Caenorhabditis elegans: one gene and its partners. The protein of the gene in region 1 purifies or fractionates together with the protein of each later gene. This does not show direct contact. Each region holds a gene or a part of one and is shown on either strand. Other genes may lie near its edges. The genes, in order: capg-1, dpy-26, mix-1 and wapl-1.

Evidence for each region.
Region 2: the proteins of capg-1 (region 1) and dpy-26 purify together in Caenorhabditis elegans (affinity purification with western blotting; 2 studies listed by BioGRID, with this or other methods). This does not show direct contact.
Region 3: the proteins of capg-1 (region 1) and mix-1 purify together in Caenorhabditis elegans (affinity purification with western blotting; one study listed by BioGRID). This does not show direct contact.
Region 4: the proteins of capg-1 (region 1) and wapl-1 purify together in Caenorhabditis elegans (affinity purification with western blotting, with the first as the bait; one study listed by BioGRID). This does not show direct contact.

The regions. Positions count from the first base shown.
Region 1 is NC_003279.8:7,633,544-7,642,599, forward strand, and holds capg-1 (Condensin complex subunit capg-1), read right to left. Parts: upstream 6,243-9,056; 5' UTR 6,221-6,242; coding exon 5,973-6,220; intron 5,932-5,972; coding exon 5,829-5,931; intron 5,772-5,828; coding exon 5,565-5,771; intron 5,517-5,564; coding exon 5,346-5,516; intron 5,288-5,345; coding exon 5,185-5,287; intron 4,842-5,184; coding exon 4,617-4,841; intron 4,570-4,616; coding exon 4,149-4,569; intron 4,097-4,148; coding exon 3,947-4,096; intron 3,892-3,946; coding exon 3,465-3,891; intron 3,415-3,464; coding exon 2,819-3,414; intron 2,759-2,818; coding exon 2,578-2,758; intron 2,041-2,577; coding exon 1,870-2,040; intron 1,813-1,869; coding exon 1,452-1,812; intron 1,393-1,451; coding exon 1,295-1,392; 3' UTR 949-1,294; downstream 1-948. Other genes in the region: lrp-1 (Low-density lipoprotein receptor-related protein), read left to right, coding at 128-246; F26A3.1 (Lipid droplet-associated hydrolase), read right to left, coding at 6,882-7,006, 7,053-7,236, 7,284-7,391, 7,437-7,672, 7,841-8,023, 8,074-8,224; ncbp-2 (Nuclear cap-binding protein subunit 2), read right to left, coding at 8,932-8,948, 9,052-9,056.
Region 2 is NC_003282.8:12,444,381-12,453,621, reverse strand, and holds dpy-26 (Condensin complex subunit dpy-26), read left to right. Parts: upstream 1-2,286; 5' UTR 2,287-2,331; coding exon 2,332-2,373; intron 2,374-2,422; coding exon 2,423-2,765; intron 2,766-2,820; coding exon 2,821-3,800; intron 3,801-3,853; coding exon 3,854-4,575; intron 4,576-5,033; coding exon 5,034-5,651; intron 5,652-5,696; coding exon 5,697-5,790; intron 5,791-6,278; coding exon 6,279-6,347; intron 6,348-6,396; coding exon 6,397-6,501; intron 6,502-6,549; coding exon 6,550-7,065; intron 7,066-7,117; coding exon 7,118-7,420; 3' UTR 7,421-7,737; downstream 7,738-9,241. Other genes in the region: Transcription regulator spe-44, read left to right, coding at 1-80, 141-349, 647-859, 907-1,337; C25G4.3 (Ribosome-binding factor A), read left to right, coding at 7,738-7,872, 8,536-9,084. UniProt on the Caenorhabditis elegans protein: Required for both chromosome condensation and segregation and for X-chromosome dosage compensation depending on its binding partners.
Region 3 is NC_003280.10:10,821,890-10,827,738, reverse strand, and holds the start of mix-1 (Mitotic chromosome and X-chromosome-associated protein mix-1), read right to left. Parts: upstream 3,494-5,849; 5' UTR 3,356-3,493; coding exon 3,262-3,355; intron 3,176-3,261; coding exon 3,092-3,175; intron 2,933-3,091; coding exon 2,001-2,932; intron 1,950-2,000; coding exon 1,798-1,949; intron 1,338-1,797; coding exon 1,232-1,337; intron 1,183-1,231; coding exon 1,043-1,182; intron 244-1,042; coding exon 87-243; intron 52-86; exon of another isoform or gene 1-51. Other genes in the region: R06F6.12 (uncharacterized protein), read left to right, coding at 3,660-3,721, 3,772-3,949, 3,995-4,437, 4,483-4,571, 4,624-4,730, 4,904-5,278; ech-4 (Delta(3),Delta(2)-enoyl-CoA isomerase), read right to left, coding at 5,457-5,849. UniProt on the Caenorhabditis elegans protein: Essential protein required for both chromosome condensation and segregation and X-chromosome dosage compensation depending on its binding partners.
Region 4 is NC_003282.8:4,441,457-4,448,493, forward strand, and holds wapl-1 (Wings apart-like protein homolog 1), read right to left. Parts: upstream 4,285-7,037; coding exon 4,244-4,284; intron 4,189-4,243; coding exon 4,008-4,188; intron 3,969-4,007; coding exon 3,770-3,968; intron 3,721-3,769; coding exon 3,566-3,720; intron 3,520-3,565; coding exon 3,326-3,519; intron 3,281-3,325; coding exon 2,811-3,280; intron 2,760-2,810; coding exon 2,671-2,759; intron 2,622-2,670; coding exon 2,545-2,621; intron 2,497-2,544; coding exon 2,265-2,496; intron 2,211-2,264; coding exon 2,136-2,210; intron 2,087-2,135; coding exon 1,961-2,086; coding exon of another isoform or gene 1,952-1,960; exon of another isoform or gene 1,629-1,951; coding exon 1,296-1,628; intron 1,245-1,295; coding exon 1,170-1,244; 3' UTR 906-1,169; downstream 1-905. Other genes in the region: htz-1 (Histone H2A.V), read left to right, coding at 4,780-4,949, 5,000-5,252; CDC50 family protein chat-1, read left to right, coding at 5,876-5,972, 6,263-6,573, 6,644-6,734, 6,872-7,017. UniProt on the Caenorhabditis elegans protein: Regulator of meiotic chromosome structure and function, playing a role in sister chromatid cohesion, possibly via antagonizing the coh-3/-4 association with axial elements in nuclei during late prophase, cohesin association with chromatin, DNA double strand break repair and polar body positioning following meiotic divisions during oogenesis.

The DNA of each region.
Region 1 (9,056 bases):
ACGTCGTACGCTCTCACCTTGCGCACTGGTTAAAAACGATGTGTCTCAATTCCCGCATTTTTTGTAGATCACAATAGATTAAAGTAAATTAAACGAATATCTGAAGTATAATAATTTCTATTTGCAGTCCCAAAAGCGGAAATCTCGAAGCCACCAATTCCAGCTCGACCCAAAAAGGAGAAAGCTGATCCTCTACGAGTAGACAATCCACTTTATGATCCAGATTCAGAAGTTTCTGATGTCTAATTCTCTTTCTCTCGTATTCTAATCAAAACTTCTCTGATTCTCCACTCTGTGATACGTTTTTTTTTTCATATTTTGTACATGATTTTCCTATATTTTTCAGTTTTTTTTGTTTCAAATGTTTTTCCCAAAAAAAATTCCTCTTCTCAAAAGTGCCTTCCCCCACACATTTGCTCCCTGTAACTCAATTTTGTGCCCATTTAGATATTATTTTCACTAGAAATTTCCATATCTTTTCCCCTCCATCCCCGATCCCCGCGTGGTATTGATCACACGTGTAAGCTTCTCACTTTTTTTTTCATATTTTCACCAAAATTTCTATTAGAATCATAAATAATAATAAATTATTATAAACTTTCCGATTGTACTTGAAACAGGTATTAAAGGTGCACCAGTTTGTCACAACGGGTCTCGCAGCGAAAATTCATTTTTTAACGTATTGATATTTATTCGAAAAATTAAGAGTTTTCAGTAGAAAGTTAAATTTACATGCTCATCACTGGAGCTCCGAAATCTGTAAATATATTTATATCTGGAAAAAATCAATTTTTAATGTTTTACCTCATCCTCTTGACTAGCCACCAATTTGTATCTTCTGCACATCGAGATAATCGCCGAAATTACTAAAACAACCATCATCAGCCCCGAGATTGATGCGTAAATGAACAAGAATCGATAGTAAGTGCCATGTCCAGAAGGGTGTTCGATTGAAATCTACGAATTTATTTGATAGAATTAAGAATTTTCTGTGGAAGTTAACGAATTACAAAAGAAAACTTTACATCGAATGCCTTAGTTGCATGTAGGGTAATAATGATGATGAATATGAAGAGACCAAGTGGAGAATTTTGCATTATTGTTGGGTGGTTTGTATAGTCGAATAAATAATTTCTAGGAAATGAAATTAGAGAATTAAGAAATATGGCGGAAAAGGTAAAGTTATTTAAATTCATAAAAATTGGGAAACGTGTTCGAGGAAAAAAAGGTTAAAATGTAAGTGGTAATAAATAACGAGATCGAAAAGCACAAGTCAATTTAAATTATTAATTTCTCATTTTTCACTTCTCAGTTTACGTGCACTTCTTGGAGGTGCTGTGCGAGCTGCAACTGCAGTTGGACGGGTAGCTGTAGTTGGACGGGATGGTGGTTCTGAAAATATTCAGTCCGTTATGAAAAACCAAATACTGAAGCGATCTGTTCAAACTCACTTTTAGTATTTCTGGGTGGACTTTTCAAAATCTCCAACGCATCCTCTTCAACTAAAGGTTTCTTTTTCGTGGCAGACGCTGGAGTTGCTCGTGGAGCTCTCGGTTTTCTAACAGTAGCGGGTCTTGATGGGCCAGGCTTATCATCTTCTTCCATATTCACATCATTATCAACTGCGATATCCGTGCTGATCAAGTTCGCATTTCTTTTGTTGGTTTTGGACGGCGCTGCTTCTTTTCTTAAGTCAGTTTTGCTTGGCACTTCTTCAATTTCATCTTCGTTCAATCCGAGAATTTTCGCTATCTTTCTATGAGCCTTTCGAAGTTCGTTGTATCGATGCTTGTCACCGTCTAATTCGTGGAGCTAAAAATTGAATGTTTTCAAATTAGAATAATTTATAATTATTTGGTATATACTTACAAATATATACGATTCTAAATCTCCATGAATTTTTGTGAGAGCTGATCTACTGAGACTCTGATATTCCACGAAGTTAAGAGCACAAATATAATAATCGACAGATGTTGAATCAGGAGCTCCAGCCATTTCGTGAAATATGTCATCCACAAGGTCGACGTGTGTTGGTTTACACTGAAAATTAAATCATTCATAACTATTTATCGGTAGCACAACTGAAAATTTTTAGGTTTTCGTTTTTTTCGAGTTTTTTAAAATCGATTTTTTGTCGTTAACCTGTCGTTAACTAAAAACCTCATACAATTGTAAAAGTTTACACCTTTTTTTTCGAAAAATGGCACTAGGAATTGTGATTCCGTGTCCAAAACGCAAAAAAATCCCCAAATTTGATTTTTTTTTTGAAAATTGCACTGAAAACTGACGGAAAAAATTTCGGGATTTTTTGGTGTTTTGGACGCGGCGCACAGTGATGTCGTTTTTTTTTTAAATTGTTTTCTTTAAAAAATGTATTTTCTGGATTAGAAAATATATTTTTGCTCCAAAAAAACTGTTTAAAACTTAAAACTTTGAAAAAAGGCAGGAGGAAAAATATTCGAAATTTTTTTGTGCACAATCCTTTCAATTTTCAACAAAAAAGTTTTAGACTTGCGAGATTTTCGCTTATTTTTCGCACTAAAAATAAATTATCGGATTCAACTCTGATCGGCATACCTTCTTCTGTTCTTCCAATGGAAGCGTGGAATGACGAGTCAATGCAACAAAAGTGGCTGCACATCTTTTAAGCTTTGTAACCATTTCATGGCGATTTTCAGTCAACCGTTCGGGTGTCGTAGAGTTGGCCCACATATCGAAGAAATTGTGGAATGATTTAATGAGAAGAAGTTGATTGTTTCTGAAAATAACTTTTTAATTTTTTTCATCAGTTTCCCAGGAAATGAGAAGCCAAGCTTACTTGTTGATAGAGCAGAAGAATTTGAGCATCACAATGATCGTACTGCGAACTTTAGCGGAGAAGCGATTAGTGATCGCGTATGAAGCTCGAGTCATAAGTGTAACCATTGTACGTTGCCATTTTTGTTGATTCGGGTCAATTTTTGTATTCAAGAAGAGTCTTGAAATTGCTTCAACTGCTCTTAACATGGTTTCACATTCTCCTGAAACATGTGCATTGACAACAATATCCGATAGAAATACTGCAAAATTGGGTTGCTTTGAATTCCAGCTGAACAGAGCGTCAACTTGATCGCCATGCTCAATTTGAATATCAGTGAGCGCAGCAATTAATGAACACTGAACTGGTTCATCTTGGGTGTTAAAGCTCTTCATCATTTCACGAAGAGTATTTTCTGCTTGATCATAATCATAGATTGCACCAATACCAATACATTCAGTACAGAGAACACGAGTACTCAAATCTTTCGATGAAATACCCTCGCGAAGCTTGTTGTTGTATCTATTCTGATAGGTTGTACTCCATCCAAGTAAAATTCCAGTTTTCAATAAAGCATTCAATACTTTCAACTCGTAGAGATCAATAACTGCGATTCCCTGAAACATTTTCAAATTTTGAAAATTAAATAATCTATATAAAATCTTACATCTTTGTCTGAAATTGTTCGTCGGCCGGTTTTGCGTGTTTCCTCTTCTAAATCTTTTCGAACCTTTGTCTCTCCAACGGGTACACTATTTTCAATAACTGGAAACTGTCCACTTTTATATTTCGATCTCATTTCTTCAATTCTATCATTAAACAATGTGAACAGTGCATTCGGATCTTCTTTGTAAAATTGTGCGAGTTCTTGAACGATGAGATCAATCACTTTTTTCTGATAGAACACATTCATCAACATTGAAATTAACATTTGCTTGTATGCATCAACTCCAGGTTGATCTGTTGGTGCATGTCTCATCACACATATTATATTCTCAACAATTGACATTTGCAGAACGAAAGTGTGATCCTCGTAGTCTGCTCTTTGGCTAATGTTCGGATAAACATCCAGATTCTTGACTCGAACGAGAATTCTGAAAAATAAAATTAATTGTTACTCTTATAAAACAAATAGTAAGAAAATCATACTTTTCCACATGCTCTACCATAGTGCGCAATGGACTGACGAAACGTGACATGGCGTTTATCTTATCAGCATCATTCCGTTTTCTATCGGAAATATAATCAACAAGACATCTCCAAAAGAAGATCATGGCTCGATTGGTGCTTGGATCTTGTCTGAAAATGATAATCTTGCTGCAAAAAACCATGAATCCAGCAAGAAACTCACGTATCAGCAAGCTCGCTGTCATCTAAAATTGATCCAACAGTACTTTTAGTAATAATCGGCACCGCACTTGACTTCATTTTTTCTCTCAAATCGCTAATTAAAACCTCTGCGAATGTGTTAATCGGATCCGCTTGACAGACGTACATTTGACGAATAACATCAAGTGTATGAGTTATCAATCGTCTCAAGTTTGAGTGACCTTCCAATGTTTCAAGAGCACCCGTTAGCCATAGCAATGTAAGTGCTTGGGCCGCAAGAATATATCCTTTCATTTTATTCTCTTCTCCTGTTGTGGATTCAGAATTAGAATTCAAAATGACAACATCATTGGAATCTTTGCTCTTTTGACTTTCGCTCCATCTCGTTGACAAATTACGAACCCAATTCTTCAGAACTTCCTTTGCCGCATCTCGAATATTTACTGGAAAATTACAATTTAATATCATTAGTCATAAATTACAAACAAACCTTCATGGTCTTTCAGGCATAAATCAAGCATTTCAATTTTTTCGCGAACATGTTTGTTTGGCCTGAGGTTTGAAAACTGTTCAAGTGCTGCGACACGAACATTGAGACACTTGTCATAATAGACAATGTCTGAAAGTAGTCTAACATCTGTTTCTAATGGTACCATTGATTGAACTGCAACAAGTCGGCATTCCCATGCTGTGTCTCTACAGGAACGGAGAAGAACTGAAATTTGTAATTTAAAAAGAACAAACGCTGGTATTGTATAGTAATTTCACAACACCTTGGCATGCTAGGCGCACGGATTTCTTTATATGGGCCAAGTTTCAAAATACGTATGAATTTTTCATTTAAAATGTTTGTTTTTCCTGTGAAAAGGATTAAAAAACTGATTTTCAACAACTTTGAACAGTAAAATGCAAGGAAAAAACAATGAAGCAGCCGCAAAATTCAAAATTAAACTACCATAAATTTTTTTGTGCTTTGATCCAAAAAATATATGGTAGTTTAATTTTGAATTCTACGGCTGCTTCATTTAGTGCGCCTTTATAAAAGTTTGAAAACTTACGTTCTCTTGGTGAATGTTTCATAGCATCTACTGGCCAATTCGATGGAATTGGTATTTCTTGCAAGAATCCTAGGCCTCGAATAGCTGGAACTCTGGCGGTTTGCTGAAAAAAGTTCAATTTCAGCTTTTCAGAATTGAATCAACTTTTGAATGAAACAAACCTCCTTGTCAAGCAGTGCTCTCTTCAATTGTAAAAACATTTTAGCTGCAATCTTGACTTCAAATCCAGAATATTCACCCTCAGTTGTTAAATATCGTTTCCCTGTCTCGAATATATAACTGATGAAGCAGGTCGTGTTAATTCTCGCAGCAACATTATCACTATGTCCCCACTGAAAATAAGTTTTATTATGCGGATTTTTATTAAATTGAATACTCACAGTGTTAATAAAATTGATAATAAAATCGAGGAGATCCGATGGAAGCTTGAAAGCTTGAATTTCAGTTATTGTCACTGCGATTAATTTAAAGACACGAGCCCGATGCTCAGGAACAGTCACCTCTTCGATAATCATTGAAAGTCGGACATCTATTTCATCAAGGAAAACTTTCATTAAATCGACCTTTTTCTTACGATTCTGATCAGCCTGAAAATTGGATAATTTTTAAAATTATTTTTATTTCGATTTTTAAAATAAATTAACCTTTTTAAATGCTGCAATCAGTTTCCGCGAACTGGTATGTATTTCATCATTAATATCATCACGAGATTGAAAAACTGTTCGAATTGATTCTACGACTCTTTTTCTATAAAATACTTTAGTTTTTTTTTTCATTTTGATACTTACTTTATGAAAAGTGCTGCAGAAATACAAGCTCGATCCTCTTTTGTCATGTTTTCATTGATTCTAAGAGTGGATACACCTTCGCTCAAAACTGTATTTTCCGCATCGTTTTGATCATTGTTTAATTCTTCATTATTCAAAAAATCAGCACTTTCGTTGAATGATTCATCTGAAGCCACATCTGTACCAGTTGATTTTTCCTCACGAAGTGCTGGCAACTTCGGCCCGCGAATTCGCTTCTTCGGTGGCATGAGAGGGGTGGGTTACTGAAAATTTGAAAATTGAAATGAATTAACAAAAAGATAGACATTCAGAAAAAGAATAACACATGTCGAATTGTTAAAATATCTTGTTATTCTCTGCATTTCCACTGATAGTGAAAATACCGGGGCGACAAATGATCTGTATATGTCCCAAAAATGGAAAATTACAAAATATCTTTTTAAACATTTAAAGACTCGTGTATAAAACAGTTTCCAAAGAAACAAAAGAACGAGGTAATGACTGAAACGACTAGAGCACGCCAATCTGCTGTTTCGCTCTCTTCGATTTCAAATTTGCATTAGAGCGCACATGCTTTCGCGCCGTTTTATTTATTTTTTATTTAAAAACGGAACTTTCGGAATTGAAAAGGGGTTTTTTAATGTTTACTAAGCCTAAGTAGACTAGAATTCAGTAGAGAGCAATAAAGTTTGTTTCGTCACCACTTAATCCTGGCAGTAATAACTAGAGCTCCTGTTAAATACTTAAATAAAATCAATTAATCAATTGAAGAAATATTAACAGGTGTTAGAAACAAACACATAGAAAAGGAAAAACAATAAAATGTGCAAATATTTTTATATTTATTAAAAGATAAAATTCTAGGTAATGCAATCACAGGTTGAAGTACGGAAAACTCGGAGCAACTGATCAATCGAAATATTTTATAACATTTCTCGCCATAATGTCTCCTTCAGAAATAACAAAAGCGTGTTCACAATTGTCTTCGTCCAATGTGACCTGCTCCTCACCAAGTCTGTCCCGCATGGAGTATCCTATAAATTTTATTTTCAATCTACACAACGTTTTCAAGGTCAATACCATGCTGCACTGGACACCATCCATCCTTGAGGCCATAATAGAAATGAACCACGTCTTGTTTTTCCAAAAGACGCTCATCTAGGTCTAAAACGATATCAAGTTCATCGTTTGACATGTGAACTATATTTCTGAACACATCCATATGGACAAGCTCAACTGCCGCATCGACGATCTCTGGGGGAGTCTGAAAAATTATGTTTTTTGTTGCTTGACATTCAAAAAAAAATTTACATTAGGATGTCTCAGGTTCAATCCAACAAGAAATTTTTTGATCGAGTTTGGCAGGTAATCCACCCACCAGCAAATCGTTTTTGTGAGCCAATCATGATGGTTCAATGTCTGAAAGTTTACAATTAAAAATTAAAATAAAGAAATTGAATTTACAGCTAAAGTTCCATGTAATCGTTTCCCATTTGGTGAGTTTGCCATATGAACTATCGTTGGAAACAGTCCAACAGCTTTTTCCACGTGGAATCCTTCTTTTATCACTTCAGGAATGATTCTTAACATCATATACGAACCAATGCTATGCCCCAAAATGTACAGTTGCTTTCCACGTGGCAGGTGCTCTTTCACAAATGATAGTTTGTGATTGACTTGTTCCTCCAGAGAAATTCGGTCTGGAAATATATTATAATCGACGTAAAAACGCGCTCCGCACCGGATCCATGAGTCTCGTTAGGTATTTGAAAAAAAAACAAAAGGGCGAAAAATACTGCGAAATCGGCGAAACTAAATAAGTTAAAAGGCTGGAGTGAACGGTTCTTCGTTTTATTTGTATTTATTACCATGATTTCGATGTTCTCCATCATCTTTCAAATGATCTGGCATTCGAACATGATTGAGACTTGAAACTGTGTAGAATAAATATTGATTTTTCAAGTTTTTCTGCTCATCTTCATCTTTCTTTATCAAATTTTGCAAAACTTCTCGTCCGAAATGAGCGTAGAATCCTTCGTTTCCGGGATTTCCTGAAATTAAAATTTTCTTAAATTTTTAAAAGCGCAATTTCCCGATTTACCTGGAATCATTAAAATAATCACTCGATTCTCGTTCTCCTTTTTCTTCTGAATTTTCAGCGTTTCGTCTGAAATATCCAACCCCATGACGGACATTTTCGTCCATTTCCCTGCTACTCGAACCCATTCCACTTTTCGAAGAATTGAGGTCATCTATATGTAAATAAATAAGAAAAACTGGAAAAATGCGGTTAGAAAGAATGATATTGTGTTGGGAAATTTTCACCTGCCTCAATAATTATTTTTAAACATCTGTAAAAAATCGATGGAGGAAGATGGCTTTATCTCAAGTTTGGAGAAGAAAACACAAACAGAAAAATAAATAAAACGTTAAAACAAGATGGAAACAGAGATACCGTATATTCTCTATTAGTGCTGCATGCAGCACTAATTTCCAGGCCCTTTTTGAGTGCAGCACTATTAGAGACTGCAGTATTACTGGAGGCTGCAGCACTAATTTTCGAACGGCTATTTTCAATTGGAGATCACTAGTTTTTAGTCACAAATGCTCACCTTTTAAGCAGAAATCCATTAAAATTGTGAAATTTTGTAACAAAAATGACCTAATAACTCAATTATGTTTGTAAGTTAACTAGAAATCTTCAAAAATATACAAAACACTCCCCAGAATGTCAAAACTATGTATTGAGTGACTCTTTCAGTAGAAAATGGGGTGCAGCACTAATAGAGACTGCAGCACTAATTTTCGGACCCTTTTTGAGTGCAGCACTATTAGAGACTGCAGTACTACTGGAGATGCAGCACTAATAGAGAATATACGGTAATAATTTTCAGATTTTGTGATTTTTTTTGTTTGAAGAATGATGATTGAGGATCGTGTTGGATGGATTTGGAAACGATTATTGACGGTCACCGCCTGAAAAATGTAGAAGATTCATTTTTCTTAATAGTCACACGAATAAAAAAACCAATTTGAAACAACTTAAAACGATTTTTCCATTTTTTTTTATTCTGCTAACCTTTT
Region 2 (9,241 bases), on another chromosome or scaffold:
AAGCAGTTCACAATCCGTGGCGACAAAGAGCGTCAGAAAGATTGGAAGGCGAGCATCCGTGTTGGAAGATCTTCGTTGAGGTGAGCATCAAGACAATAATCCCTTAAAATACTTCTGTTTCTCAAAACTTTATATTCTAGAACTCACATGGAAGCAATGACCATCGACTTCTACGAGCATATGAATCGATGCAGTGGAAAGTGTCAAAGCAGAAATTATGTGAATGCTCCATCTGAAGAGGTGCTTCAAGCTCGGAAGTCCAAGAGAACATCTGAAGCCGGACAACTTAAATATGAGATCGAAAATGAGATGGCTGGAAAAGAGGCGGATAATGATGATAATAGAAAGAGTACGACCGATAATTCTACAAAAGGATCTAGTTTTGACATGTTCTCTCAATATTTTTCATTAAAATTTAGGAATAATATTTGTTATGTCTAAAAATAACTTATATTTTAGTTGGAACAATCGGAAAAGTGCTCAAATATTGTCTCAAAGTTTGAGATTTGTGAGCATCTTTTCAACTATTCCAACTTAAATATAAGTTTTTTCAGATAAAGGAAACATTATTCTATATTGCTAGAACATTCTAAAACTAGCTCCTTTTGTATAACTACCAGTATTCTGGAAACATATCATTTTTCAGGCGCCAAAAAAGCTCGTGGACGTCCACGTGGAAGTGTCAACAAGCCCAGACAAATGGTCAAAATGGAGCCACAAGACGATCGTTTCTTCGAGGAGTTCTTCATTGATGCGCCACCACTGCAATCAATGTCATCTAATGAAGAGCCAACTTCTTCAAATAAGGAATCCAATGAGTGCACGCCATTCAATGATATTCTCAATTGTCTGCAGAACGGTAAGCTATTTGACATAACATTTATCACTAATTTATTTTTATTTCAGATCCTATGAATTTCTGGTCTCAAATGCAACAAACCGGTGTTATCGGTCATTTCTGCGACGACATCATTGTCAGTGCAATCAATCTGAAACAATCCGTTATGGATAATCCTGTCACTCCCACCACTGCCAACATGCTCACTCGTACTGCATTCGCTCTCGGAATTCCACCTGTCGTTGTTCATCGTGTTCAATCGATTGAACGAAACGCTTACCAACAGCGGAAACATGACGAAATGTTTAACGATATTCAATCAACTTTGGCCGAGGAGCACAGTGTCAAATATCAGCCGAGAACATCATCTTCAAGTCAAGAGAGTCTTCACACTGCTCGAGAATTTACAGAAGAGAAGGTTGAGGAACTTATTGATGTTTGCAAGTACGACGATTATCCAGAATCTGAATGTCTTCCAGGACCTAGTCATATTCAATAATTAAACAATTACGGATTTAATCCACAAACGCACAAATAGTGTGTGCATTTTTTCGTATGTATTTTAGAACTTCATGTTTTATAGAATATAATTAAATTCTGATCCAGTGGAATAGCCCACTGCTTACTTGTGAGCTTTCCCCCCTCAACATACCGGTGAAAATTGTTTGTAGTTCTTCTAGAATGTTTCATGCCTTTATAATGAAATCGTGTTCATTTGAAATTTCTATTCATGTTTTACAAACTCTTACTCGTCACAACGTAATACTGGAATATCTTTTAATTTATGTTTATTTTTTTTATATTCAATTTTCAACCTCATTCTTTTGGAATTAAGACGCCTTCATCAACAACATTATTGATTGCGTCGACTTGATTCCAAAAAATGAGTTTCACACGAATACTCATCAAAGTGTCATGGCAACAAAGAGATAGAGACGAAAATATATCATTGAGCAAACAACAAGCTTTCAGAAGGGCACAATCGGTTTTCAGATGAATAGAATTTGTGCTAATCATCTGCTAGCGGATTTTGTTCTTGAGAGAGATAATACTCCGCTCATAAGTAAACAATTGAGAATTAAATTCGCACAAAAGCATAAATCTTCATTCGCGAATATTTTTATTACTGTAGGGTCTCGCCACGAACAGATATTTTCTGTATGTGTCCCTTTAATTGAACTGTAGCTTTATCGATCGGTCGAAGGCATCAGAAAAACTTTCTTTTTAAATATATATTTACTTCATAACAATTTCAATCAATTTGTGAATTTTTTACATTCTCTTTGGATTCTCAGTGTGCGAACTGCCTCGTTCCCGCGTTGACAACGAGAGACAAGAGTCGCAGACGACTAAACATCATTACGAAACTCCGGTCTCCCTTCGACCCTTTGTTTAGCAACGAGGACTTTTGAATTGAATTGTGCTTCTTGTTTGAATATATTTTATTTTCTCCTGCTTTCTATTATCTAAAATTGTGTTTTAATTACAGGGAAATGGATGTACCATCATCCAGCAACGTCACTGGACGCAGAAAAGTAAAAAAAGAAGAATGTTCTGCTTCTACCAAAAACGTAATGTTTTCAGAGACAAGTTCTAGATGATGACGAAGATGATGGCTTCAGATCTACCCCATTGCGTAAAGTTCGAGGAACTAAAAAAATTAGGCCAGCGGATGTGGTGCCAGAAACAATTATGACAAAAATTGGCGCCCATATCGACGATATTGTGAATAAGAAAAAAGTTGGAGAGCTCAACTGTTTCGAATATAAATCGCCGCTTGAAATTCATACAATCGAAGATATGATCAAAGCAAAAGCTTCAATCCAAGAGATGGCAGTTGTGCTCGAAGGAGCTCAGTGCATTATTGGTTATCGAGTCGATCGGCTTCACCACGACGTTCGACAAATTGATTCAGCTCTCTCGAGTGGTAATTACATTTTTTTTTTAATATTCTTGGAATTTATCGTTTCTTTTTATTACAGGAACTGTTATGCGAGATTCAAATGGTGAAGAAATTCATTTAACACTGGAAAGCAGAAAAGCTAAAAAGAAAATGGCTGTTGTTGACGGAATGAATGGAATGCTCGATTTTCTCAATAATATGGATGATGCTCTGACAACCACCGAACTTGACGCAGACAATGATAAGAATTGGAAAGAAGATGAGGAAAATATTGCCGGAGAGCCACGAATTGATTTCAAAGCCAATTCCAAAGATGTTGACGCATTTCTTCAAAGAGACATTTTCCCCGAAAAACTCATTTATGCATTGTCAATCAAACGAGCAACTGATCTCAGAGCTGACCTTCTCTCTGATGTTTCCAATTACATAAGTGCTGATGATACGGCTCATGATCTGAAAGACGCAAATATCGATTGGCTGAGAGCTAACCCGACATTTCAAAAGGCAACGAAAGGATCCGTGTGCAATTCATCAAACTCGTTCCATTCTCTTAATTATTATGGAATTCATTCTCCCGATGGACGAACTCTTATGTTGCATAATCGAATTGCCGATAAGAATGCTGATGATCGGTTTTTCACGTCCGATGTGTCTGTCTCACTTGTAAAAAATACACGAGCTCTCCTCACCAATTCATTAGACAAAAAGCCACGAATTCTCGACAACTACTTGATGCTCGAAGTCAAAGATCGCCCAGTTATTGGGAGATACAAAATAATGTCAAAGGATGTGAAGAAGTCAACGCTACCATTGGCGGAATCGTCTCGTGAGAAAGATCTCGCCAACTTGACATTCGCAGAGATGAATCATCGGCCTTCAAATCTGGATATGACGGTGGCAGGAGCATCGGATATGTCAATGCTTCCAGGAAATCAAGGATTACCACTCGCCCAGGGAGAAAACGATGAGACGATCGCTCTAGATAGGCTTACACCTCCTCTTCAGTCGTCTGTGTCACAGAAAGCGAGTGACGAATATGTTCTTCCACCTCTTGAAGCTGTAAGTTTTTTTGCGCGCCTCTGAATACATTTATGATATAAATTATTTTCCAGAATGATCTCGATGAGCATCTCATTGGAAAACTGCCAATTGAGCCGAATGAAATGGATCAAACATTAGCCAACATGTTTGATAAGAAGCTGGAAGTGTTCAACACATCTGATACACTTGAATCAAAAGTCTGGAAAAATGGAATACGTGCAGAAGAATGGGGTGAAGATGATGAGGCAATTATGAAGAATGACACGAAACATCCACGTCAGGCTGGAATCGAAGGTTGGATTAAGGCAACTGATGCATGGACCAACTATGATGTTGTAAAAATGAATGTAAATCGAGAAGCTCGTTCTCAATTGGATGAAAATGCGATTGACGAGCAAGAATCGTATAGAAATATGGTTCCGGAAATTGGAAAGAATTTGTTCTTGGTGAAATCGGATGATTATATGAATAACTATCCTGGAGATCGTCCAGCAGACTTCACAGTGAATGATGAAGTGTCTGATGTGATGAAAATGTGGTCTGGTGAGGATAGTACAGCTGAAGATGATGTTCCGTTAGAACAAATTCAACAAGAAATACGGGAACAAGTGCAACAACAAGATGTTGATATGGAGCCTATTGAGGAAATGGATTACGATGCCGGCGGTGCTGCTTTTGATGTAGACTTTGATGATCGACTTGCAGCTCCGGTTGAAGTTGAGGAAATGGAAGGAGATAATAATAGAAATGATGGAAGGGTGGCTGATATTCTTTTTAATGAGCAGATGGATGAGTAAGTTTCAATTTTGAATTGAAAGTTGATTCTGTTCGGTTTTTTGTTGCCTATAATGACAGAAGAACGTTTCAATATAGCAAAAAAAACCGTTATTCATTTAATGTAGATAAATGCAAAAATTTATTTTTATCCATTCTCACCTATTCATGAGTGTCGAAAAATGCAAAAAAATACAAAAACTAGACGAATAGGGGGGAAAATGTATAAAAATACATTTTTTAAAAAATTTTCTACATCACATGAGTAATGAATAACCACAACTATTTTGAGATTTCTTCAACAATTTTGCAAAAAAAGTTAAATCTTTTCTGAATTCCCGCGCTTCCCCTATTTTCGACATTTTGAGTTTCCGGCAATATTAATTGGATACTCTTTGCTTTTTTATAATTTTACCTTTGAAAAACGCTAGATTCAACATTTTTGAAAAGACTATCCACATTTTTTTTCAATTTCAGAACTGAAGTAGAAGAACGAAATGAGCAAGATGTTCAACGGGAGCTTGAGGACATTGCACTTGCAGCCGATGAAGTTGCAGAGTTGATGACTTCTGCACCACCGCCACAACTTGTTGGACCATCTGCAGAAATGCGTGAAGAGATTCAAAATATCGGAAAGAACGACAATGCTCATTGGGTTCCACCAGTCGTTGGTGATCAAGAGAGACAAGCAGCGGTTACAGCACAACGGAAACGGCGAGAAAAGAAAGCGAAGAGCAGAAAAGCCACTGTCGAAGATTTCGTTCATTACTTCCGTGACATTCCTGATGACGAGATTGAACGAGAAATTACTGCTGCAAAATGCTCTAAAATTGCTGATGAGAAGAGCACTTTCCTTTCGGAACAACAGTTATATCTTCCAACTTTGGGAATTGAAAACAAGCCGCATGTCGCTTTTGAAATGGGTCTTCTCGGTAACAGCGGGATGTTCTTCAAGAAATCATATGGGAAAATACGACTCGAACGTGTCAAAAATCAAAAGGCTGAGCAAGATTTGTTCATTGATGAAGCCAGAGGAAACAAGGATTCGGATTGTCTCAATTGGCTACTTTCATTCAGTGGATTCAGGTGCATGGAGTGAGTGTCTAGGATTAAATATATATAAAATTGTTAATTTTTCAGAAATCCGGAGCCTATCACTGGCTCTGACTCGGACGAGAATCTACGAACTGCCGTAGAGCAACCGTTTGATGACGATTTTGCCAACGATTATTACGTACGTTTCTGTTAAGACCTGCCGGTTTTCCTGTCGGTTTTCTGAATAATCGAGAATCGAAAAATTTTCGTTGTTGATTTTTCCAGTTAAAAAAAGCTCGTTCAAAAGTCCAAAAGTTTTCGACGATCGATACCGTTAAATAGCTCAGACGCGAAATGTTGCGACTTTAGAACAAAAAATACAGTACCCGGTCTCGACACGACAATTTTTTATAATGAAGCCGAGTGTGCGCCTTTAAAGAGTACTGTAGTTTTAGACTATCGTTGATGCGATGTTTTCGGTGATTTTTCTATAAAACAGATTTTTTAATTAAAAATTGAAATAAAGCACGAGAAAACAATTCCTTTTTAGTGTATTTACAGATTTTAATAAATAAATTTTATTTATTGAAAAATCAACAAAAATTTTGCAAAAAATGCGTCTTTTCGAGACCTTGATACCGTATTTTCGGAGAGAAAACTACAAAATAATTCGGCATCTAATTACAGGACGAAGACAGATACGATCCAAACTATGAACAACAACTCGCTGCTGCACAAATGGGTCCGGATATGCAGGTAAAATTAAGACGGAATATTTTTTCCAGTGCTCATTGAACATTTTCAGAGGAAACTAGCCTTGACCGCAAGTCACATTAATCAAATGTTCCCGAATATCCATTCCAAACGATACGGTGGTGAATACGGAGATTCAGATGATGAATTTGACGATGTAAGTTTAACAAAAAATTTATATTAAAAAAGTTTGTATAATTTTCAGTCATTCGATCGCCAGTCGATCCAGGCAAAGAATCTTGACGCCGCCAAGCACAAGAAGTGTCTCGCTGAAATTCTGAAGACTGATAGTCTATCGATGCCTTCAATTCAATATGTTCTGGAGCAGTTGACATCTAATCAGACTCTACGAATGAATAATACAACTATCCGAGCTGCCGATGATCGTAATGAAACCGGAAGACCTGCAACACCGACAATGGAGGCCGACAAAACGTTGACGTCAGTGTTTGACTATAGATCACCGAACAAATCGAATCACGATGTGAACGAAACGATGAAGGCACTAACAGAGATGCCAGATTATCAAGCAGCAGATGAGCGTCCCAATAATCAACCAACTACATCTACATATGGAACTGCTAACACTGAAAATAGAAAAGTGCATATAAATGGATGCCATACACTTCTTTCGTTGGCACTTTCAATGCCTTCCAGAATGGGAGAGACTGTTAGGCCCTCGTCTATCGTCAGCTTCCTATTGCATATTGCCAATGAAAATGTATGTTTAGTTTTTTTGAGTTTATTTTTTCAAACTCATTCTAAATTTTCAGAACTTGCAAATTGTTCAAGATCGATCAAAGCGATCCTGGATGTCTGATTTCATTGTTCTCAATTCAAGTGAAAGCCTACCACGTGGTCTGAAAATGGGAAGAATCGAGGATCAAGACGAGTTCTGGAAACGAACTCAAGATCCGGACGCCATCGAGGGTACGGCTAGCGATGCGAATAATGTGTTCTCGAATTTGATGCGACGTCCGAAGGCAGTACCAGTTCGTAAAGGTCGTGGAGCAGGTGGTCAACCTACAACAAGTGATCTCGGAGCAATCGTAGAAGAAGAAGAAATGGAAGAATAAGCATACTTTATTAAATTTCTCCATAAAAAATCATTTATTTTCGGTATCAAAATTGAATCTCAGAATCCACCCAATTCGATGTATTTATTCATTTTATCTCTCATTTCTCGAAACTCGAAGTTTCTTTATTTATTTTTCTCTCTCTGAATTGAGTACCCCGACACCAAAAATTTTAAGTTTTCTGTCAAATCACTCTTTACAATGAATATTCAATATGATATTCGAGCCATAAAACTTGTAGAATTCTAGGGATACAAAGACCCTTTCTGATTCTTCCGAAAAAGCATTCACTGATTCCATAAAAATTACGAATTCAGATGTATAGAAACGGGATCCGATGGATTACCACTAGCACGGCGGCTCTGAAGGGACCCAGAAATTATGTGAATCGAAAAACGGGACGTGGATGTGGAAATTCGGTTCTTTCAAGATTCGAGTGGAGATATGATAAGGTTCTTTGGAAATTAGATTGAAAAATATAAATTCAACTTTCGTTTATTACCCAGGCGCGAAATTTTGCGATTTTCGCGCAAAAAATACAGTACCCGGTCTCGAAACGACAATTTTTGTCTAAATGCGAAAGGGTCTGCGCCTTTAAAGGGTACCGTAACCGCGAGCTCAACGAAATGAGAGAAAAACTTTAGAAAATCAATGATAAATAAATTGAAAACATTTTTGATTTTTCGGGAAAAAAATTAGAAATCGAAAATTAATTTTTTGTCAATTTAAATTAACAAAAAATGTCAACATTTTTATCAAATTTTGTGTTTTTTTTTGAGAAAAATTACAAGAAACCGTTAAGTTTTCTTCTATAACGAAAAAGATTTTAAAATGTAGGCTGCTTTTTCGGAATTCAATTTTTTTCGAAATTTTCTAGAGGCGAAAAATCGAAAATGACATATTTTTCTTCAACATTCCAACAATTATCAAAATATTTTGTATTTTTGGATTTCTTCTTGATATCAAAAAAAAGTATTTTTTTTCGCAACGAGAAAGTTACAGTACTCTTTAAAGACGCATGTCTTTTTATATTTTACAGAAATTCGTGTCGAGACCTCTGGTAATAATGATCATGGCTCCACCAGTTTTCTCATCCCAACAACAAGAAATTTCAGACATTGGGCAAAAACTTCCAAAAAACGATGGGCATGAGATACGGTATCGATATGGGACTTGAAGATCGACTTCTACTCGTCTCTCTCGGAACAAAACAACGACGTTTAGACGACAAAAAAGTTGTTCAGCTGAGCAGAATCCTTGAGGAACGAATCGCCGAAGTCGTCGCAACAGATGAAATGCTCGGGCGATTACAACTTCAAATTACTCGAGTACGAGTTGATCGAGCTTTCACACAAGTGTCCGTTTATTGGATGTGTCGAGGTGATGGAGATTCGGAAATTGTTGATTTTCTGGAAGAGTCGAAACACCAGATAAGACGACGAGTGGAGGAATCCATTGGAATTACGTGTCCTGAAGTGAAGTTTATCGGGGATAAAGCATTGTTGATGGAACAGGAAATGGACAAGTTATTCCGTGAAGCAGATTATGGAATGGATTATCGATTATTGAGTAAAAGTGCACGAGTTTTGGGAAATGTGAAGGAAGAGAGCCCGAACAATAGAAATGTACCTAGATGGTTGACTAGCATAAAGAAAAAAGTTTAAAAGAAGAAAATTAGTTGTAATCATTTGTTTTTAAAATTTGTTTTTTAGTTTTTTAAAATTTTTTTAAATGAACCTTTTTTCATTTTAATTGAAGTTTTCTCTTGCATCATAACTGGTTTATACCTGTGAAATACCTATTAATTTATATTGACTTATT
Region 3 (5,849 bases), on another chromosome or scaffold:
AATCTTTTGTCAAATGTGTCATAGTGATAAACTTAGCCGACACTTCAAAATTGATATTTAAATTAATTTAAAAAAAAACAACTAACCACACCACCAAGAGCAATATCTGCAGCAACAGCGAATTGCTCGCATCCTGGTTTCATTTTGATAAGATGGGCGACATATCCGAATACGTCCCGCTTTTCATCAAATTTATCGATATGTAGTGGAGGACGTTGGTAGTTCAATGCATATCGACCATCCCTGGAAAGAAAAATTTGTTTAAAAAAATAAACTTCAATGTTGCAAATTAAATTTTCGTTTTTTTTTGTTTTTTGGTCTGAAAAAAAAACCAAAAATATCATTGAGACGTTTTGAAAATTTGCTATGCCGGTTCAAAATTTAAAAAAAATTATTTTTTTCAGCTAAGATCTTGAATTTTGCCAACTTTTCAGTGTAGTAACGGCCGGAATTTGGTTTTAAATAGCCACAATTTATTGCATATTGTGATAGTTTATCACGCAATTTTCCTAAATTTTGGTGCTTTTTCAGTTGATTATGCCGAAACTCTCGAAAAAAAATTCGCGAAATTTGAAATTTTAGCTGAAAAAAAGCATTAATTTTTGAAAAACAACTGTTTTAAAATTAAAAAAAGTTTTCTCAAAATTCCGAAAGAAAACTATTTTTTAAAGCTAATATCTCGAATTTTACCAACTTTTCAGTGTCATAACGGCCGGAACTTGGTTCGTAGTAAATTATCACTCTTTATTGCACGTTTTTTCGTTAATGTTGATGGCTTTTCGGTCGATTTCACCAAAAATGTGCAGAAAATGCACCTGAATTCACGAAAAAAAAACGCATAATATACTACAAAAATATATGTTTTTTTTTTTTCATATTTAAATATGCAATAAAAAGGCGATAATTGAATAAAAACCAAGTTCCGCTCGCTGCGATACTGAAAAATTGACAAAATTCGGGTTTTATTATGAAAATAGGTTTTTTTTTTTAAATTTTGAAACGGTATAACTCTTTTAAAATGAATTTTCACACAAAACCTTACTTGTATGAATTCAGAAGTCTCGTATCCATATCCTTGAGCTTAGTGATGCTCTCATGCAATTTTGCAGCGTGTTCTCGTTTCTCCGTATCAGCATCTATATTGAAACCCAATAATTGAAGTTGCTTATTGATCTCATCGACCTGAATATTTTTAAGTTTTCGGAGAAAAAAAAATTGAAATATCTGATACCTCTTTTTGATAATTATCGGCACTTCCAATGTCAGATTTACTTCTGGCTGAGAGAGTAGCTTTTTCGCCTTCCAAATGTTTAATTTGGTTGTGTAGACGTTCACCGCTGAAATAAATTGCCAATTTTTCAATGATATTCCTATTTAAAAAAGTACATTTCTTCTTTTGTCCCATTAAATTTACTGAATTTCCAAATTAATGCATTATTTTTTCGATGTTGTGTTTTCTTTCAATTTTTGCAATTTTTCAATGAAATTACATCGTTTGTAGTCAATTTTTTATCGTTTTATGTTAATTTTTCTGTTTAAAAATTGTTTAAAACCAGTTTTCAATGTAAAAATAGTATAAAACTGGTTTAAAATTTTTTAAACAGAAAACTGAAGAGAAAACGACAGAATAATTTCATTGAAAGTATCCGCAAAAAAACTATCATTGACGTTTTCAAAAAGCGAAAAAACGAAACTTTTTGTTTTTCGATTTTTCTTAAAATATCTCAAAATTTTTGTCATTATTCTTATCGACATAAACAAAATTAGATTTTTTGTTCCAATTCTCAGGAAAGTTACCGTTTCTTCGCAGCAGTAATCCCAGATGACATTTGAGACGCAGTCGACTTGCAAGACTGTATTTCACTCTCAATCGACACATGTTCTCCTTTGTCATTAGCAATTGTTCCTCTCGTTAGGGATTCGAGGTCATTACGGTATTTTGTGACGAGCTGAAATTGTTTTTTTTTAACTTTATTTTTAGAATAATTTCTCGAACTTACAGCTTCATCATCAGATTGACTTTGAATATCTTTCGAGTTAGCCGCCTTTGAATCTTCGTGTTCTTTTCGTTTTGCGTCGAGAACTTCACGATCTTTTGACAAGCTTTTGTTGATTTGTTCACCTTCCTTTTTGAGTTTATTGATTGTTTCAACCAATTGATTTTTGACAGTCTCCTTCTGAAGCATTATAGATTGTTTCGAAAGATGAGCCGCTGAAAGTGCAGCCTCTTCATGTTGATCATCTCGAGATTCTTCCATCTTTTTCTTCTCATCTTCCTTATTCTTCAAGTCAAGATCAAGCTGATTAAACTTTTCACCGAGATCTTCAATTCCCTTTTTGGCATCTTCAATCTCTTTTGCACTTTTTTTCACCGCTTCACATGTTTGAAAGTATTGAAACGCCTCGTATTTTCGGGAAAAGTTCTCTTTGAGTTTCTTGAGACGAGTCACTTCCACCATATTCTTTCTGTCTTCACGGAACTTTACCATTCTCGGATCAATACTTGATTGGAAGATTCTATCAACTTCTTTGAGTTTTGCATCTTTTAAAAACATTGTTTTCTCCGCGTCTTTCTTCTTCTGATCATACATCTTTGTTCCAGCTGCTTCCTCAACCATTCCGAGGATTTCCTCCGGCTTCATGTTTAGCACCGTAGTAATACGACCTTGCATGATGAGAAAATGTGGATTATTCACGTTCAAACCGACGCCACGGAAGAAATCTTGCATTTTTCCATTTGTGGCCGCATGCCCATTCAGTGTGTAACTCGTTGCACATCCTTTTCCAGTTGCTTGAGCTGTGATGATTCTCTGAACGACGATCTCGTCGAGATGTTCCATTCCGAACGGGGAGCATCTTTTATCAGTGTTGTCGAAGCGAACTTGGACGATCGCTTTTGTTCCACCATGGGAAATCAGCTCGTGCATTGATTCTGGAATGATATTTGACTTAATTTTTTTTTCTAAATTTCAATTTAAAAAATCTTTGCTAGAAATATTATGCTACTCTGATCTTGTGCTTTTTCAGTCCGAAAGCGCGTAAGTATCACTATGACAACAAAATAATTTTGTGATGAGAAAGAGCCACATACTTGCTCTGATATTATCGAGCTTATTGATTCCCATAATGAAGCAGATCGAATCGAGAATATTGGATTTTCCACTACCATTGTATCCTGAAATAAAACAATTATTATACTATATTTTATGCTGAAATTAAAGTTTTTCAAACTATTAGTTTTCAGCACAAAACTATACTCACCGGTGATTGCGTTGAAAGTCGGCGAAAAATCGAGAATATCGGTGTGCTTTTGGTACGATTTAAAGCCATCCAGATGGATGGATTTAATGTGCATTATGAGCGCACCCTGTCGAATTGATTTTGAACAAAAATAAGTTATAAGTCGATAACGAGTTTGAGAAAATGTTTATTTCGAAAGCCGAATGAGCTTTGAATGTTTTTTGGCGCGTCTTTTGAGAAGTGTGCAGAGTGGCGTGAGAGTGTTTGCGGACTGGAATGTATGAGATTTGACGCGCAAAAGTTGCCTTGTGATTTTTGTAATTTTTTTCTCCTTTGTTTTTTCTCCTTCGCTATAATTTAGAGTCATTTATTAATTTTTATTTTTTAATTTTTATTAAACAACGAAAATCGTTGCAGATATGGATTCCGAAAAAGAAAATCCTGCTAGCCCAACAACAGGCCGTGAAGAAGAAATTCCTGGGTAAGAATAAAAATCACATTTTCTTTCAAATTAATAAATGGAATTTCCAGATCCTCCCCAGAAGGTGTATATCCTGCCGATGAAGATCATATTTTCCACGAGGATCAGGCCCCACTTCGAGTTGAAAGTGCTAAGCATGAAGAAGAAATTGTTGAGCAGCAGCAGCAGCAGCCGGAAGATCTTGAACAAGGAGATATGATTGTGGAGGATGGTGATCAACAGTTTATGGTATTTCAAGCTTTTCGATGAATTGAAAGAATATTTATATTTCAGAATATGGTTCAAATCACGCAGGAAGACATGTACGAAGCGGGTTTCGATGTAGAAGCAGGCTTTGAGCTTAATCATCTCACCGAAGAGCAGCTGAACATTGTGGTGGCGATTAGTCAACAACGACAGGCGAAACAAAACGAGCAAGAGCACAATGAAGAAGTTGTCATAGAAGATGGTTCACATCATCACATGGTTCATCACGAAATGATTGAAAATCAATTTGAAGGTGATGGAAATGGGCCGGAGGAAGAATATGATGGGAATGGTCAGATAATCGATAATGCAATGCATATTATTCTGACAAATGATGGTGGAGTCAATATTACATCAAAACAGAAGCAATTCTATGTTTCCCCCTCCGAAATCGCCAATTTGAACATTGATTTAAACAATTTAAGCACTGAAAATGTCCATCAACTTGTGCAACTTGCTCTACCGCCCATGTAGGTCAACACGTAGAATTTTAACTATATTTTTATTATTTTTAGAAAAGAAAAAGCTCAAGATTCTGCATACAACGATCAGGCTCCATCAACAAGTTATCACCATCATCATCATGAACAGTTGGAAGCTGGAAGTGAGTTTCAGAAGCTTATTTGAACTAATTTTAATTATCCAAATTATTTTAGAATCTACAAGAAGCCCAATAATTGGAGAAACCGTTCAAATTCGGACAGCTGATGGTCGTCTTCAAGATGCGGTTGTCAAATATGTTCGAGGCGATTCGGAGTACAAGGTGAGAAACTCTTTACTTTTTCTGTTTAATTAGGCAAGATAAGCTCTGTTTTGATCCGATAAAATGTAATTATTTTCAACTTTTGGATCAAAACAGAGCTTTTCTAGAAAAAACGAAGAAAAATGCTCATAAAACTTCTATAAAGTATATTTTTTAAAGCTTTGAAATTTCAGATCCAATTAATGAATGGAGAATTCGCGTACGCCACCATCGACCAGATGCTCGTACCCCAGCGAGACCGAAGTGATCACGAGTATCAACAAGTTGCTCCGCCCGTCTTGCTCCGGAGGACGGATATGGCTTCAGTTCGAAATGCTGCTCAAAAGCGATCAGCCAACGATGATCTGTGCCCTCCAGTTCTGAAAAAGTCGTATCAGTTGGCTCCTGTCGTCGACGGACCACATCTAGTACATACTCCGAACTTTTGTTGCCCGATTTGTGATAAGAAGGTCTACCAGAAGGAGCCATCGTACATTGTTATTCGGCTACCAGCTTGTGATTCATGTACTCGTGAGAAGATTATAGTTCTTGATGAGCAAAGCAGTTGATATTCTTCATTTTTACTCGAAATTTATGGATTCATTTATTTATATGTTGCTAAAATTCTATTGTTGTAAATTAATCATTTAATTTTGTTTTTGCACATGTTCAATCAAATACACATAATTCTTTTTAGATACATAAAAAATCTACAAAAAAGGTAAAACTTAAGAGGGCACAAAACAATTACTTCTTTGCTCCTTTTGTCATAAATGCTGCAATCGCTTGGTGACACTCCTTGGATTGCCAACGCTCGCAAATCTGGTCGGCCTCGATATTGTTGACCTCCAGAAGCTTCTCCTTGTGCAGAGAACGGAGCAATTTCTTATTGATACGAAGAGTTTCTGGCGGAAGTTGGGAGAACGCTTCCACAGTTTTTTGAGCATGTGACTGGAATTCAGCGTCTGGCACAACTTCATTCACAAGCCCGTAATCCTTTGCAGTTTGGGCTGAGATTTTCTTACAGACCAACAGCATCTCAGAAGCTCTCAAAGATCCCATGATCAGTGGGAACGTGTAGCTCGAAACTCCTTCAGGTGATTGTCCAAGTGGGGCAAATGGAGTGTGGAATGAGGCCTT
Region 4 (7,037 bases), on another chromosome or scaffold:
GTCCGGACCCGGAAAGAAGATCAATCAACGTGAACTCATTTACTAGCATATTATTTATTTGTTAGTCTTGGAATGTAATAAACTAATCGATCTTCTCTTCTTTTCTCGCCTTCAGTATACACAAAAAAAATTAACTCTCTTGTTGTACACGGTGGTGTAGTCGAATTTGAGACTCTGACAAGGCTATTATACGAAACATCACAAAAATTTCGCTAACGGAAGTTATGAGCCTTCATTGTGCTGAAAAACAATTTCCTTCTAATTTGAGCTCCGCGGGTGAAGGATAATGCCGAGGTATTGTAGTGGTACTGTAGGGGTACTGTAGGATTACTGTAGAGTTACTGTAGTTTAGGAAACATTGAATTGTAAACTTTTGAAGAGGTATTGGCTTGGGAGTTGGTTAAGGTTAAGGATAATGTCGAGGCATTTTATTACGGGAACACTAAATTCTGAGAATGCGTATTGCACAACACACTTGACGCGCAAAATATCTCGTAGCGAAAACTACAGTAATTCTTTAAATGACTACTGTAGCGGTTGTGTCGATTTACGGGCTCGTTTTTCGAAATTAATTTTTCTGGTTTTTTCGAATTGTTTTTCGTAATTTATGTGTTTTTCTTGTAAAAATTTCACCGATTAATAAATTATTTCTGTAAATCGACACAAGCGCTACAGTACTATTTTAAAGAATTACTGTAGTTCTCGCTACGTGATATTTTGCGCGTCAAATATGTTGTGCAATACGCATTCTTAGAATTAAGTGTTTCTATAATATTAGTACTGTAGGAGTACTGTATGCTTACTGTAGTTTAGGAAATACTGAATTTTAAACTCTTGAAGAGGTATTAGCTTGCGAGTTGGTGATAGAATTCGCCGCAATGCCAATTTATATAATCCGCCGCAGCTAATAGTAAGTTTTATAAAAACGAACGAAAATTGTTTAGACAATCACGGATTTATCATAAATTCACAAAATAATCACCAATCCTCGTCATAAAATCAAATAGGGACACATTTCAACAAAAAAAAAACAAAATAACCGAGATCAAAGTGACCTGAAAAATGTGCCAGGGGAAAAAGAGTGTGCTATAAGTGATACAGGTGAATTGAAAAATGAGAAAAAGTTTAGCATTATACAGAAAAAAAAGAATCAAGAAATAAACATTAAATCACTCGAGCCGCTCGAGGTACTCAATCACACGCTCGATAGCCCGGAATCCCGAATTTGATTCGACCCGCTTCGCCTGAAAAATCACTTTTATGTATTGAAAATTCAAAATAACTCAGACTCCTACCATCGTAGCTTTCGTGAAATCGTACAACCGCTTCAATTGCGATATCATATTTTGGAAGTTTTTGCCAGGCAGGTGCTTCCGAACCTCGTCGAGATGATCCTCGTTCTGTTGGAGAACGAATCCGACGAGAAGAGCGTGGTAAGAAGCGATTACACTGCCTTCCATATGAGCCGAGGCTTTGTTCATGACTTGTTGAAGAGCATGAACTACATCCACTTGATCCATTCTGTCCATTTTATTCCGATCAAGCCGTCCGTCTTTCCTGACACCATCCTCGTCACTGCTTTCGTCTCCACCCTCTTCTTCTTCTTCCTCGTCTCCGCATCCTCCTTCCTGAAAAATATTTTTTGTTATTTTTTAAATCTTATCTTGATTATTAATTCAAAGGGTATCTGGCACGGGACCAGCGTGTTCTACAATAAAACAGTCCCAGATGAAGTGAAACTCCTGTGTACTGTAGCATAGAAGTTTTGGATTCTTGCTACAATCTTGCACAACTCCTGCATAATCTTGCGCAACTTTTCAGGAGTCTTGCGTAGTTTGCCACAACTCCTGCAGACTCTACGAACTGCCAGGGATTTAGAACTCAAAATCTTAAATTTTTTGTCGGTTAATTTGCCAATTTTTCGTTAATATCCTTTTCGTCGGGTCTGAATTCAACATACATCAAACGCCAATTCCCGATCCAGATCGGCATCGACAATTTGAGCCTGAGATTCATGGTAGACAAATAGCCGTGTGATCGCCTCCAATGCTGGAACTTCTTCAACGTCGTGCCCGGGAATCACCATCTGAAATTAAAGTATTTTTAATGTAAAGTTCAAATTTCTTTTCACAAACCTTAACTGTCTGGGCTATCAGAACTTTTCGGTTCGCATTGCATCGTTCCACAAGATTGGTCAGAAGTGAAGTCATCTGAAAATTTAAATTAAAAACTCTTATTTCCAATTTTTGAATTTCAATTCTCACCATCACATTGATATCATAACTATTTTCTTTCCCAAACTTCGGCGCCAAATATGTGAAAGTTGTGATCGCATTTGGTAGGAATCCTTCAATTTGACCAAGTTTCGAACAGCATAGCTCATTGTCGTGCGAGATGTTGATCAAAAGACGGCACATCAGGGCCAGACACGAGATGTACTTTTTGACTTCTTCCTCTGCAAGTTGATGAACTCTATCGAGAATTACTTGGAGAAATCTGAAGGAAAATATAATAATTTTTTGCATTAATTGAACGATTTCTCACTTGGCCAGGCTGCTGATAAGAATATTCGATCGATGAGATATCAGAAACGCTTGATTCTTCTTGTGGAAAACGGAACTCTGAAAAAAGGGAAATATGAAAAATTGTGAAATTCGAAAATTGACTCACTGATTCCAAAATTCTAAAACATCGATTTAGAATCAAAATGCTATACGTATCATCGGCATTGTCCGCAATCAAGTTTACATTTGTTTCAACTGAAATTAATTTCATATTTTTAATATTGGGTCAAAAAAACTCCAACTCACTTTTCGCAACTACAAACTGGAGAATTCCGAGATTCAATAATTCGCTTTTCAAATTATCATCATTCACAGAGCGACTGCAGATAAAAACGAGAGCTTCAATTATCAGTGATGATGGAGTCAAGCTTTCCTTTCTCATATCAAATGACACCTTTTGTCCTCCAACTTCTTGCTTTTCGATGTACGAATTGAACACTTCCCAGACCATATTCACAACTTTATCCTTGTCTTCTGGACGTTGCTCGAATTTTTCGATACGCAGAAGTTGCGAGACAAGTCTCAACGATGGAAAATCGATTTTAATTGAATTAAAGTCTCTTGTGAGCAAATAGAGAACTGTCGAAGCTGCCAGCGCGAATAGATCATCTTCCGGAGAGTCCATAAGCGCCTTGACGATACTTTTTGTCATATTCTCACTTTTGATAAACTGGCGGAAATCTGGAGAGACACACTTCTTCGCAAGAGATATTGCACTGAAATTTGATAATTAATTTCGTCCAAAAACATTTTTTTACTACCTGAGGCACTTGACTTTCATCGATGCGTCGGAAGATTGCAAACTGCTCAAAATGTAGACGAGATCTTGTTTAAAATCATCGTATTCTCCGGATTCCCGCAGCTCATTAGCCTCCTTGATATGCCTGACACGAGATCCATACCCAGAAGCAAGAGGTTTCGAATAGGTGGATGTCGTCGCATAAACCGGCTGACGCTGAAATAATTTACTGCTGAATACATTTACATTGGAGTCGACTAACCGGTCGTGCAGAGACTGCTGGCTGGTTTGGTCTACTGGAATAGCGATTTGACGATGAAGAAATAGTTTTCTCATCTTCGTCATCTTCTTCTGTTGTCCATTTGTGTGTATAAACGTGCTTCTTCTCTTGTTTCGGAAAGAATTTCGCACCACCCACTGAAACACCATAAACGTTCATTTAAATTTGAATTTATAATATCCTTACTGTCAATTTCATCTTTTTTTTTCTTCTGAACAGGAGCCGTTGTCCTCTCACCAGCCGGATCGTAATCGAATCCTCGACTTTGAGATTTCCTTGTCCCCCTAGACGGATCAATTGCCGAATCTTCCATTCTTCTGTTCAGGGAGGAGGTGGAAGATTGGCTCAGCATCTCCGGCTCGCTGTCGTCGCTCAGATTCTGAAGCTAATAGGATATGATAAACTATGGCTGGATAAAGCTTACTGTTTCAGCATTTCCTTCTGAAAGCGTTTCCGGAAGGCTTAGTGGTGGTGATGAAAGCTGATTCACAGGTACATCTGGAGTGTCAGGAACATCTGGGGAGTCGGAACTGCGTACTGATGGTAGCTGATCATCTTCTATACCTTGTTGTGCTAGTGTAGCTTGGAATCTTTTTCGGACGATTCTGAAAAAAATCATTTTATTTTTTGTCTCCGTTTTTAAAAAATTTATCGACTTACGGCTTGGAAAATGGGTCGTCCGAATTAGCATCCGACGACATGTTTCTTGAAATTTGAATATTTGTCACCGGAACCCTTCAAGCTTCGATTTTAAAACCGATTTTATTGAAAATACCGGTTCGCGCGCTTAAAAATTGCAAACCGAGAGCTCCGCCGTAAATCTACACACCCGACCGTACCCCACCTCGTTGCGAGACCCTTGCGTATCTAACTAGCTGGCAGCGTGCCAAAAAGGAGGAGTCTCTCGTTTGCGCGCGCTTTTGAGAGTTGATTTCTTCGTTCGAATGTTTTCCTGTTCATTTGTGCATAAATTGCACTACGATTTTGCACTAATGTTTTTGTTTGTATTTTGATCGAAAATCAAGTAAAATGTATTCTTTCTGGTGTTTCTGAACTGCTTTTACCCATTTTTCACTATTTCATCATTGTTTCTCTGGAGATTCTTCGCTTTTATCGTAATTCAACATTTTGTGGAACGTTTATCGATTTTTTTAAACATTCTGTTCTTGTTTTCAGAAGCTTCAATCTAGTTCGCAATGGCTGGAGGAAAAGGAAAGGCCGGAAAGGACTCCGGAAAGTCCAAATCGAAGGTCGTATCGAGAAGTGCTCGCGCTGGACTCCAATTCCCTGTCGGACGTATCCATCGTTTCTTGAAGCAGAGAACCACTTCCAGCGGACGTGTCGGAGCTACTGCCGCAGTATACAGGTACTGATTCCATATTCTTGATAATAAAATTCTAAAATTTGTTTTTTCAGCGCTGCCATCCTCGAATATCTCACCGCCGAAGTCCTCGAGTTGGCCGGTAACGCCTCCAAGGATCTTAAGGTGAAGCGTATCACCCCAAGACATCTTCATCTTGCTATCAGAGGAGACGAAGAGCTCGACACTCTCATCAAGGCCACCATCGCCGGAGGAGGAGTCATCCCACACATCCATCGTTATTTGATGAACAAGAAGGGAGCCCCAGTCCCAGGAAAGCCAGGAGCTCCAGGACAAGGACCACAATAAATGCTGGACATACCTCAAATATCTAAATAATCTAATATTTTTCTCAATTTCACCAAAAATTAATCTCTCATCTATCACTCCCCAATAGGCGACGAATTAATTTGATCACTGCCTCATCCAATATTCTTTTGTTTCATTCCTCCATTCACTTTTTAAATTAAATTTTGTAAAGCCAGATACTCGGCCGCTACTCAGTCCCCAATTCAACTCCAAGTTGACTATGCTAACCGTCTGTATATCAAGCATTTCAAATGTTCCCACTTTTAAATGAATAAAGATCTCGAATGGAAATGTTTGCAGATAGTCGTTGGTCAGTTGAATTCTGCAATTTCTAAGCTATTTTACATAAAACACTACGAGCTTGGAAATTGGAAATTTTGGCAAAAAACAGTTGTTTGTGAAATGAGTCAGGTTTCAAAAAGGACGAACATTGGGAAAAATCGATTCGGCAAACGCGAAGAAAGAGATTTAGAGAAGCAAAGAAAGGCCTCACCATGACGCATAAAGTCAGTTGTTTGTGAACTAACTGCGTTTCATTCGTCCTTTTTTAACCTTTTCGACCAAATCTTTTCATTTCTAATTTTTCGATTAAAATGTTCACAAAAATATCAAGTTGGTTTAGAATGCCGCCGAGAGACGCCGTTCCGACGTCGACGCAAGTGAGTGGTATTGGTGCTGACGGGGTTCAAACGGAAAAAGTGCTGAAAAATCGGCCGAAGGGTGAGTTTTTCGTGTAATTTTTCCAACAAATTTCAGTTAAGCCAGAAGTTTTGAAGTATTTTCGAAAACGGAATTCACAGTGGGTGGAGCCGAGAGTTTGAATTTCGCAACACCCGCGCGCTTTTTGCGCAACCCTCGCACGGTAAAAAACGCGCGAGGGTTGCTGAAAAAGCGTGCGTTGGCTGCAAAATTCACAATTTCGGTTCCGCCCACTGAATCCTGTTTGATTGGGGTCTCAAATATTTTCAAAAATACCACGCTTGGCTTCATAAAAACCCTTTTTATTGCAGCAAGCGCCCTTCGACAGCAAAAACTCCCCGCATGGCAACCGATTCTCACAGCAACCACAGTAATTCCAACGGTTTTCGTCATCGGAGCCATCTTTCTACCCATCGGCGTCTTCCTATTCATCGCTTCCGACGCGGTTTCCGAGTTCACCGTCGAATACACCAATTGCTTATCACCGTGCCAATTGCAAATTAATTTACCAAATGCGTTCGACGGAGACGTCTTCTTGTACTATAATCTCGAGAATTACTATCAAAATCATCGGCGATACGTGAAAAGCCGGAATGATCAGCAATATCTTGGAGATTTGACGGTAAATTGATTCAAATTTGAAGCAGCGACGCTATAGAATATTCGTTTATTAAATTTTAAATTGCTTTCAGAACGTGAAGGACTGTGCTCCATTCGACATTGACCCTGCGACAAAGAAGCCAATTGCTCCATGCGGTGCGATTGCCAATTCGATATTCAACGGTAAGTGTCTTCGATATTCCGAATGACCTGAGTATCTCGCTGTGAGCAGCAGCAGCTGCGGTGGGATACCAACGCTGTGTGCTCAGCCGCACGCATCTGGCTCTCCTAAATTCACCGATTAACCAATCCATTTCCAGACACTTTCACGCTGGCTCATCGTGCCGACACAGGCATCGTTACCATGGTACCCGTGACGACTCAGGGTGTCATCTGGAATGTGGACAAGGATCGGAAATTCAAGAATCCCCCGTTGAATGATGGCAACCTCTGTGACGCATTCAACGTACTGACGTCATAAAATTA